Macaca fascicularis: one gene and its partners. The protein of the gene in region 3 binds, or shares a complex with, the protein of the main gene of each other region. Links are inferred from orthologs where the notes say so. Each region holds a gene or a part of one and is shown on either strand. Other genes may lie near its edges.

Region 1 (2,508 bases), on a different chromosome or scaffold from region 3:
AGGCCCACATACCCTTGGCACACTAAGAAACTGGCATGTGTGGGCAGCAGCCCTCTCTCTGGGCATGCCCAGAGGTGGAGGTCTTTTTGGGAAATGTTGAAAGGACAGGTGGGTAGGGGTGTGGGTGACAAATGGAATCTGGAGCATGCTGTGGGCGAGACCGCAGCAGAAGGAAGATCCCCGCTGTGGGGAACTCCATGGTGTGCATTTTGGCTTTCAGGGTATAAAGGGGGAAATGATAGGGAAAGACTTGGTGCAAGAGAAGGGAAGGAACAGAAACAGACAGATGAGAAAAAGAAGATGACGGTACTGCAAGTGTTTCTTTCAATCCTTGCCAGGCCAGGCTTCATTTAGCCACTCTGGTCTCTTCCTGCATACCCCAGCCCCCGTTTATAGTACCTGGGGAGTGGGGAGCAAAGAACAGGATCAGAGCATGATCTGAAAAGAACACTGAGCCTCCTCCCTGCTGGAACCCCCACCCCACAAAAAAGGTTGACAGATTGATGGTCCAGTTCTTTATTTAGAAACCTGATTGTTCAAGAACATGGTGGATGCTTCACAGCTTTTTCACTGGGATTGTGCTGGAGGTGATGGGCAGCATTCTCCCATTTCCTCAGCAACAGAGGTGAAGGCTCCTCAACTCAGAAGCACAAATTGTAGGGGACAGGGTGGGCAGGGAAAGGGAGAAGGACATCTCAAGGCAATTCAAGAGAAGGGGGTAAAGCAACTCCAAACAGCACTAAGGGCAGGTGGAGGCCTGCTTGCTCAGTGCCTGCTAAGTGTCCTGCCCTCCTTGCTCTCTCTACACACCTCCACTCAGAAGATCCTACCGAATCTCCAGGTAGGGAGCAGGGAATATCCTATCATTAGAGTACAATAACAAGAAAAGCCACAGAGGAAGAGGAAGAGGATTGAGCGAAAGCTCAGGAGAGCAAACATCACAGGCCGGGTGAGCTCTCAAGGTGGCTGCCAGCTGGGGTGGCAGCATTCACCCAGGGCCCCCACACCCACAGAATTGCCCGAGAGGTCCACAGCTCAGCTCCACTCTGCTGTTTGGCCCTCAGGGGTCCCAGGGTGGGGAGGTGGGGAGGAGGCAGGCCAGTCCAGGAAGACTCTGGATTCTATGAAGGGTCAAGTGCAGTGTTGGTCTCAGAAGTCAAATTCGTCCAGGTCCCCTGTGCCCTCCCCACCTTGAGAGCCCCACACCCGGCGGTAATTGCTCTCCAGCTCTTTCTGCCGCTGGCGTTCCTTCTGGGCCTCTTCAGCTCCCGGCACCTGGTGGGAGAGGGTAGAGGTGGGCTGGAGCTACTCGCTGTTGAGCCCAAGGAAGTCCTGGGCCAGGCAGCTGGGGGAAGGCAGGGAATGAGGACACCCATGTCCTGAGAGGCTCTTCCTGCATGGCAGCACTCTGAATCACTGGAACCCTAGCCTTGTCTTACAGATCAGGAAACGGAAGCTCAGCAACGGCATGGCTGGGGCAGGCCCACACCTCCACTCCAGGTGGGCTGGGGACAGGAGGCCTGGGGGCCAGGACTTGGGGGTAGAAGCCTCTCACCAAGATATTGAAGAAGATCTCCTTGAGGTTTCTTGTGTCCTCATCAGTCAACCAACGTGCACCCTCTTCAGTTCCTTCAGCCCATGGGCGGACAATTTTGATCTCAATTTTCCCTGGAAAGGAGCAGTATGCAGTGAGAGGAGAGGATGGCTGGGAGCCTCAGGGCAGGCCCCCTGCCCCACTGGTCCCAGCCCCTCCACTTCCGGCAGCTTGCCCTTCCGACAGTGCTGGGTCCAGCCGCCCTCCAGGGCCCACCTGCAGCTGTGAGTCCCTCCCTCTCCAGCAGCTCCTTCACCAGCCCCTCGATTTGTTTCAGCTGTGGGTTTTCCCGTTTCATCTCGAGGACAGTCAGATCCTGATTAGGGCCTCCGAGACGGAGCTTGGTGACCCGGACCCGGACTCTGTGCTCAGGATCCTCCTCTTAGAGGGGGAGACACACAGGGAAACACAAAGCAGAGGCATGACTCCAGGGTTAGGGGTGGCAGCTTTGGCAGCTATTCCATCTCAACATGTGTATGAGCCAGGGCTCAAAAAAATGTGTGCCCCCACTCCCAATTCAGCCTATAGAGCTCCCTCCACCAATTGCTGCCTTCCGTCTTCCCACCCTACCCAATAATTCTGCCCATCACCTATAGGAAAACAAATGTTTTCTGAAGCCAAAAGCAGGCCACCTGCACCAACAAAGTTTTGTCTGAAGAAGCAGGTTGGAAAAGTGTGGTCTCCTCCTCCATATGTTAGGACTTTAAAGACATTTCAATGTTTATAGGGAGAATGGGATGGAGGGTTTGAAACTGGAACATTTCATTTGGAACATCTGATGTCCACACCCATAGGACCCTATGAAATGGACACAAGGGGATGCAAGAAGAAGACATAATTTAAAGTCTATCCAGGCTATTGGCTCATGTGCGGCTGGGCTCTCCTATTCGTGCCCTGACAGCTGGGGACTCTCT
Region 2 (3,500 bases), about 69 Mb from region 3:
CTATGAATATATAACAGAAATTTTTAATGTGTTTATTATAAAAGATTTTAGCTCAATGGAACATGAAAGCTAGATTAAGTAGCTTTCACTTATAAATTTAATTTATCACTTACATTCTCAAGACATCTCATACATTAGAAACTATACTAGCAATAATATAAAGCATTTAGTTTTTCTTGCTTGGTAATATTTCTGATATTGAGATAAAATGATCAAACTTTTTAATATTATTAATTCCTTGTGGATTATTGTTTTTGTTCAGGATAACCTTTTTGAATGGCACTTCACGGTTAGAGGGCCTCCAGACTCCGATTTTGATGGAGGAGTTTATCATGGGCGGATAGTACTGCCACCAGAGTATCCCATGAAACCACCAAGCATTATTCTCCTAACGGTAAGAATTTTGGATTTTTAGAATGCTCATGACTTAACTCTTCCTGGTAGGTGCAAAATATAGTAAGCAAATCATTTTCATTAAGAAATATTAGAACAGTATAATTTTGCTTTTGGGGTCCAGGCCCTGGGACTACAATTTTTTTCCTCCAAAATAATTCCTAGGAAGCTGATGCATCCGAGAAGTAAAAATGATACAACTGAATGCATAAATGTCACATCATGGTTGTTAGGATTCAATGAATTAATATATGAAAAGCGCTGGGCATACACATCTGGCACTTCATAAGTACTCACTAAAGGTTAGCTAATGTTATTGTGCCTTGTAATCACATTGTCTCTTTCAACTTCCCACCTTTCTTACACTCTCTTCCTCAGTTTTCTCATCTTTACAAAGAGAATAATGATACCTACCTCACTGAGTTTATGTGGGATGAAAAGTATCAATATCTTATTGTATAGCTCTTAGAATAGAGTCTGACACAGAGTATTCAATAAGTGTTAGCATTATTATTACTATTTATATCTCAGAATTTCTCTCTTTCTCTCCAACTTTACATGTCTTTTCTTCATGTGAAGGAAAAAAATTTTTTTTTTAGAGACACGGTCTTGCTCTGTTGCCCAGGCTGGAGCGCAGTGGCCCAACATAGCTCACTGTAGCCTCAAACTCCTGGGCTCAAGCAATCCTCCCACCTCAGCCTCCTGAGTAGCTGGGACTATAGGCACATGCCACTGTGCCCAGCTAATTAAAAAGCTTTTTGGTAGAGACATGGTCTCATTGGTCTTGAACTACTGGCCTCAGGCAATCCTCCCGTCTCAGCCTCCCAAAGTGCTAGTCACCATCATACCTGGCCAAGGAAAACTATTGATCTAATTCCTCTTCAATTGTTATGCTTTTCTTCTCTCATTTCCTTTAATTTTAACTATGTTTAATTATCCCCTAACCTTGAAAGAAGCAAAAACAAACACAAAAACCTTCCCCTGTATCTGTTACCACTTTAAGCTGTGCCTATTTTTCTCTTTGGTAACCTCCAAGGCATCCTTTCTCTAGTGTAGCCTGCTGCAGTCCACCTTCCACACATAGTGCCCTGTTGAAACATGAAACTACACCAGTCTCAGAGATTAGTTTGAGAAATCTCACTGCTTCTTCTCAGTCTTCATCCTGTTCTATCTAAGTTAAACATCTGACCCACATGGAGTAGCAAATGGTGAAACAACAGGTATTCGTCAATAAATACCAAATTAATGCTACTTTTACCTCTATTTTGTATAACAGAGAGAGCATTTGTTTAAGAGCCAGTAGGCCTAGATTCTGACTGGTGCTCTTTCCATTACACTATGGGTGGGTTACATAATGTCTTTAAAATTCAGTTTTCTCATCAGTCAAAAGGAATTTTGTGTTTGGTAATTGTAATCACACCATAAAGTACCTGACATATAGAAGCTGCTTAACAAGTATTAGCTGATACTCCTCTCTTCTTCTTTTTTTTTTTTTTTTTTCTTTTCTTTTCTTGGGGACAGGGTCTCACACTGTCACCTAGGCTGGCATGCAGCAATGCAGTCATGGTTCACTGTGGCCTTGAACTCCTGGGCTCAAGGAGTCTTCCTGTCTTAGCCTCCCAAGTAGGTAGGACTAGAGGCACACGCCACCACTCCTGGCTAATTTTCTTTCTTTTTTTTTTTTCTTTTTCTGTAGACAGTGTCTCACTAGGTGGCTCAAACTGGTCTTGAACTCCTGGCCTGAAGTGATCCTCTCGCCTCAGCCTCCCAGAGTGCTGAGATTACAAGCGTGAGCCACTTCGCTGGCCAGTAAAACTTTATGTGTTAATTATTTAGATTTCAGTTGTGCAACTCAGTTTCAAAAGGTGCTGTAAAACACCTTCTAACAACAGCTTTTATTATTCAGCATCCAACAAGTATTTTTGGAGTCTATAAGGACAAAAAAATCTGTGCCCCATTAGAGGTTACATTTTTTTAAAAAATCTTTTTAAGATAATTTCTAAAATTATTATATATAAATAGTATATTTTTACTTAGAAAGTATAAACATTAAACACATGTATTTAATTTTCTAGATGTATTGTTTATTCCTCAGGCTAATGGACGATTTGAAGTGGGCAAGAAAATCTGTTTGAGCATCTCAGGACATCATCCTGAAACTTGGCAGCCTTCGTGGAGTAGTAAGTGTTAATTTATAGTGAATATAAATCTCTTATAACTTCAGTCAATTCATAGTTATGAAGTATAATACTCTCTTTTTTTTCTTTTTCCAGAATAAACCCAGTTGCTTTTACAAAGCAATTTAGATTGATATTTACTTTTTTATTTCAGTAAGGACAGCATTATTAGCCATCATTGGGTTTATGCCAACAAAAGGAGAGGGAGCCATAGGTTCTCTAGATTACACTCCTGAGGAAAGAAGAGCACTTGCCAAAAAGTAAGTTTTGCATTTCATTCTTGTTGAGGTCTGAATGGTATTCAGGGTAATGGCTATTAGGAGGTAGGGCCTGCCTCTTACTATGTGACTTACTTTCTGAGCGACTGTAGCTACAGGATCTTATCTCAGTTTTGCTCTTTTAGAAATTCAGTTGTAATAATTTCCTTGGAGTGACCAGAATCTAAGTAATTTATTTAATGCTATCTAGTCTTAAAAAGTCGTTGATACTATTTCACTATTTTTTTTTTAATACAGTGGGAGATATATTCTCCTGGAAAACAATACCAGTCATTTGTTTCCACTTATATGGAATTACAGATGGAAAAGAACCAGAGCAATTATTTGTAGCTTTCCACAAGATTACAAACCCCTTGAGGGCCGGGAGAGAATCCACTTTATCCATCTTTGCATCTAGCTCATAGCAAGTGCTTAATAAGTGATCTGGAATAAAGCAAAAGAGATTTTCTCTATCAAGTTGTGATTGCCCAGGGGCAATCACAAACAGAGAAGTGCTGCCTTCTCTGTTTTTTTCAGGTGCAGGTGTATTTTTGTCTATATAACCAAGATCAGTCCTTCCGTTCAGAGTAGCCCCTCTTTGAGTAGCGCTGATACCTAATTTTTGATGTTGATAATTTTTCTGCTCTGGAGTCTGCTGCCTACCACCCTTCAG
Region 3 (4,036 bases):
CCCATTTGGAAATGCCACCTAGTTGATTATTAATTCACCTACCAAAAGCTCTTTATACCTTTGTCTTTAGAGACTCTACAAGATAGCAAGAAGGAACAGGATAGTGAGAGGTAAATTAGTTCCTGGCCTAAAAGAATAGGTGAATAAAATCAAAGCAGGTTTGGAGGCTCTTTTTACCTATTTTTGATAGGTGAGATTCCCATACATCTTATAGAATTCAGTAAGTTATTTTTTTCCTTTGTAAATATTTCTTAAAATCAACAAGAAAACAATAAATGTGACAAAGCTCTTATAAAGAAATCATGACACTGACAAGCCCATTATCCATATAATCACATGTAGACAGAATGTAACAAAACAAGATCTTTGAAGAGTAGAAATTAAAACCTTTCTGCAAATGTCCTCAACTTACTTTATCCCACTGAGGTGCATAATGCTTAAGACAATGGTTGCTTTTATAAAGAAGAGAATAAAGAAATCCACCATCTCTGCCATAAATCTGTGGGCCAAGGATGGAATAACATATTCTCTGCCTGTAAATTAAAAAAAAAAAAAAGTTAGGAAAAATGAATCATTTCACACAAGCCTTGGAACACAAGCCATGTAATGAATTGGTAAAGAAAGTCAAGGTACAACTTAAAAAACAGTATTTATAACCTTGCAGCAACTATTGATATTGATTCCACCAAGAACCCATGTTACTAAAAGAGAGTAACAGTACTCCACTATTTACTGAACTTAAAAGTTTGCTTTCATCACTTTAACGTTTAAAAATTGATTTCACACGGCCAGGCACAGTGACTCACATCTGTAAACTCAGCACTTCGGAAGGCCGAGGCGGGCGGATTGCTTGAGGCCAGGAGTTCCAGACCAGTCTGGCCCTTGCCAACATGGCGAAACCCCGTCTCAACAAAAAATACAAAAATTAGCCGGGCGTGGTGGCGCATGCCTATAGTCCCAGCTACTAGGGAAGCTGAGGTGGCAGGATGGCTTGAACCTGGGAGGCAGAGGTTGCAGTGAGCCAAGATCGCGCCACTGCACTATCCAGGTTGGGCGATAGAAGCAGACCTTGTACCCCGCCCAATTTCCCCCCAAAAAACTGATTTCACAGATAAATTCGATTAGGGTATCCAATATATTTCACTAGAATTCTAACGAGGAGAATCCAGGTGATCACATCTAAGTGACAACAAAATTAAACATTTTTTAGTGCAAATCAAGGTTAAATATTGGCAATTAGTACAAAGTAAATCCCTGTAACGCCCCCCTCATTTTTTTTTAGTTTTGCTTTCTTTAAAATAATCCCAATGAGTATCTGTCTGTCATCCTAAATTCTGACTGGCATCAGAGGCATCTATTAGTTCTTGTCCCATCTATCTGTGGCTAAATAAACGAAAAGTCTTAACTAATGGATTAAATAGTAAACTAAGAAGTGTACCTAATTCAAAATATTCTAGTTCACACACAGAAGCAAAAACAATTCCACAATATACAAGATCAATAAGCCCGGGCTTCCTAACTCCACTTGTATCCATGTCAATCTCCTTTTATATCCGGTCAGTTCCACTGTCCTAAGTTGCCAATGTCTGAAGAATTTCCAGCATCACCAGTCGAGCCCCTCCAAAACTGGGTTTGCCATTTGCGAATTTAGCTTTGGACCTCACTCTGCAGAGCATGAAAACCAAAGGAAGAGGATGGTTTGAAGAGCAATTTCTTTTCACGAAGAAACAACTAGTCCCATGAGTAAAGGAATCAATTCGGAGTGCCAGGTCTAAAGAACAATGAAACCCGTATTGCCTCCTTGTACATTTTGGGAATTTAGGGCCTGGACAAACGATAGCTAGTGCACGGGCAGGATGATCAATTAGAGTAGCAGCAGCAGTTACAGGTCTAAAAAGCGTGCCAGCTCCACCTCACAGGTCCCCGAAGACACTTCTACTCTGCCCCGCCTCCACCTCGCGCTTCTCACCTGCCTGTCGCCCGGTCTCGCTCGGGCTTCGCGAAGGGGCTGCGGATCCTACCCTCGTCACTGGAGTGGCCCGGACCGACGCCTGCACATGAGGAGCCCGGGGTCCCAGGCCCGCGACTGGAGCAGGGGTGCTGATGCCGGCAGCTGTCCGCGGGTCAGGCCCCACGGCCCCGGGACTCAGGAAGTAGAAGGGGTTGTAATAGCCCAGCTGCGGGGGCGGCGGCGCCGCGGCCTGGGGAACAGGAGCGCCGCCCGAAGGGAAGCTCTGCGGGGACGGCTGGGGGCTGCAGTAGGCGGGGAAGGCGGCCAGGCCGCTGTGCCAGGTGAGGTAGCCGCAGTAGGACTGCCACAGCCACTCGTGCACTTGCCGGGAGTACTCGCGGGCGCTCAGCCGCGCCGGTCTCTCCCGCGGCGCCGCGGCTTCGGGCGCCTCGCAGTCCGCCTGCTCCTGCAGCCCGGGACCGGAGCCGGAGGCCGCCTCCCCGCGCTTCCTGAGCTCGCGCGGCGAATCCAATTCGTCGGTGGCGGCGGCGGCCGCGAGGCCCGGGGCTATGGGCCGACCCGGGGCCTGGGGTTCGGCTTGGGGGTCGTCGCGGGGGCATGGGACGGCGGTGGTAGCAGGGCCTTTCAGGGAAGGGACGAGCTCGTGGTCCCCTCCGCCATCGTCCTGCCCGGGAGGGCGGCCTCGGGCTTCCTCGTGCCCCTCGGCCATAGTCACCTCAGCAGCACCCTCCGGGGTACCTGTCACTGCTCCGTTTCCCTGCCCCAATAGCCCCTCCCGAACAGCCCGGTCGCCACCGCAGCAGCCGCAGGCGTCAACAATCCCCCGCCGGAAGCGGAAGCCCCGCCCCTCAGGAGCGTCGCCCGCCGCCGGGCGGAGCTGGGAAGGGAGGGCGGGGAGGTGCGTCTGCAGTCCCAGGTTCGGGCCCTAGTAGTCGCTGGCTTGTCGGTAACTGGGACGAGACCGTCGCCTCCTCCCTTTTACGGCTTTAAGTCTGTGGCCCGAGGCCTCTCTGTATGTTCACGTGGGGTTGGGCCTAGTTGTCCTGGGAGAAACTGCAGATGGATGAGGAGCATTTCCGAGACAGGTCCCAGGGCCAGCGCAGCCTTTTCTGTTGCAGAACCGCGACTGTTGTTTTGTGCTCCATTCCAGTTAACCATTAGTACTCGAGAAGGTGGTACAGAACGCATCTATCCCCTTAGAAGATAAGAAATTAAAAACCAAACTAAACTGGAACCTATATTAATATATTGGTACCACTGAGACGTAGGAAAATATATTAAAATATAAGTAGTGAGGTGCTATGTATAATTCAGAGGAAGGGGAAATTATGCACAGGCTAGACTAGTAACAAAAGGCTCCAAAGCCTGGGATATACTGAGGACCTTTCCATAACAGAAAATGAAAAGGCACCTAAATTTGAGACTAGATTTGAGGAAAGGCACAGTTCGCTGGAGTAGAAAGTGTGTGTCTACCGCAGTGGAAAGTAAGTTTTCGGAAATGCAGACTAGCTCCAGGGTGAGGACAAAATTCAGCTTTTAAATCAGTATAATCCCTCTTCTTTTACATTTGAAAATCTCTGCAGCGATATGTCATTGTATCCCCAGCACCATACAAAGGACACAGAAGGGCCAAATACTGTGGGAATATTTATTAATGATATTAATGATGATGCTGTCCGGGCCAAGGGAAAACTTCGCCCTCCGAAGGTTCTCTGAAAGTCACTGACAGGAGGCAGTTAATAGGAGAGAAGACATAGACATTGATTTGATCATCGTTTTATGTGACACGGTAGCCTTCAGAATGAAGACCCAAAGATAACAAGGGAGATTGTGTATTTGTATGCTCAGGTTCAACAAAGCATGGACAGCCGTATAGCAAAATGATTGGACAAAAAACACTCTAACGCCAACAGGCAGGAAGCCCAGCAAGGCCTGTCTAGATTCTCCTTGGGCTCTCTGCAGCATTCCTTCCTTCTGGGTATGGAACAGGACCCTCTGGAATGGGGGCTGTGGCCTACAACAGTTAAACAAGGTAGATCAGATAATTTCTTTCTTTTATTTTCC

The links. Proteins that work in one complex are often made in the same cells at the same time.
Region 1: FAM8A1 (region 3) and OS9 share a complex: the UniProt entries of both Homo sapiens proteins name them as parts of the HRD1 complex. The link is inferred for Macaca fascicularis from reciprocal best matches to the Homo sapiens genes FAM8A1 and OS9.
Region 2: FAM8A1 (region 3) and UBE2J1 share a complex: the UniProt entries of both Homo sapiens proteins name them as parts of the HRD1 complex. The link is inferred for Macaca fascicularis from reciprocal best matches to the Homo sapiens genes FAM8A1 and UBE2J1.

What each region holds. Positions count from the first base shown.
Region 1 is NC_088385.1:64,538,317-64,540,824, reverse strand, and holds the end of OS9 (protein OS-9), read right to left. Parts: intron 1,976-2,508; coding exon 1,811-1,975; intron 1,669-1,810; coding exon 1,556-1,668; intron 1,276-1,555; coding exon 1,150-1,275; 3' UTR 501-1,149; downstream 1-500. UniProt on the Homo sapiens protein: Lectin component of the HRD1 complex, which functions in endoplasmic reticulum (ER) quality control and ER-associated degradation (ERAD).
Region 2 is NC_088378.1:86,048,087-86,051,586, forward strand, and holds part of UBE2J1 (ubiquitin-conjugating enzyme E2 J1), read left to right. Parts: intron 1-262; coding exon 263-394; intron 395-2,488; coding exon 2,489-2,573; intron 2,574-2,724; coding exon 2,725-2,830; intron 2,831-3,500. UniProt on the Homo sapiens protein: Catalyzes the covalent attachment of ubiquitin to other proteins. Functions in the selective degradation of misfolded membrane proteins from the endoplasmic reticulum (ERAD) and is essential for cells to recover from ER stress.
Region 3 is NC_088378.1:155,292,692-155,296,727, forward strand, and holds the start of FAM8A1 (protein FAM8A1), read right to left. Parts: upstream 2,801-4,036; 5' UTR 2,682-2,800; coding exon 1,970-2,681; intron 1,666-1,969; coding exon of another isoform or gene 1,661-1,665; exon of another isoform or gene 1,303-1,660; intron 534-1,302; coding exon 413-533; intron 1-412. UniProt on the Homo sapiens protein: Plays a role in the assembly of the HRD1 complex, a complex involved in the ubiquitin-proteasome-dependent process of ER-associated degradation (ERAD).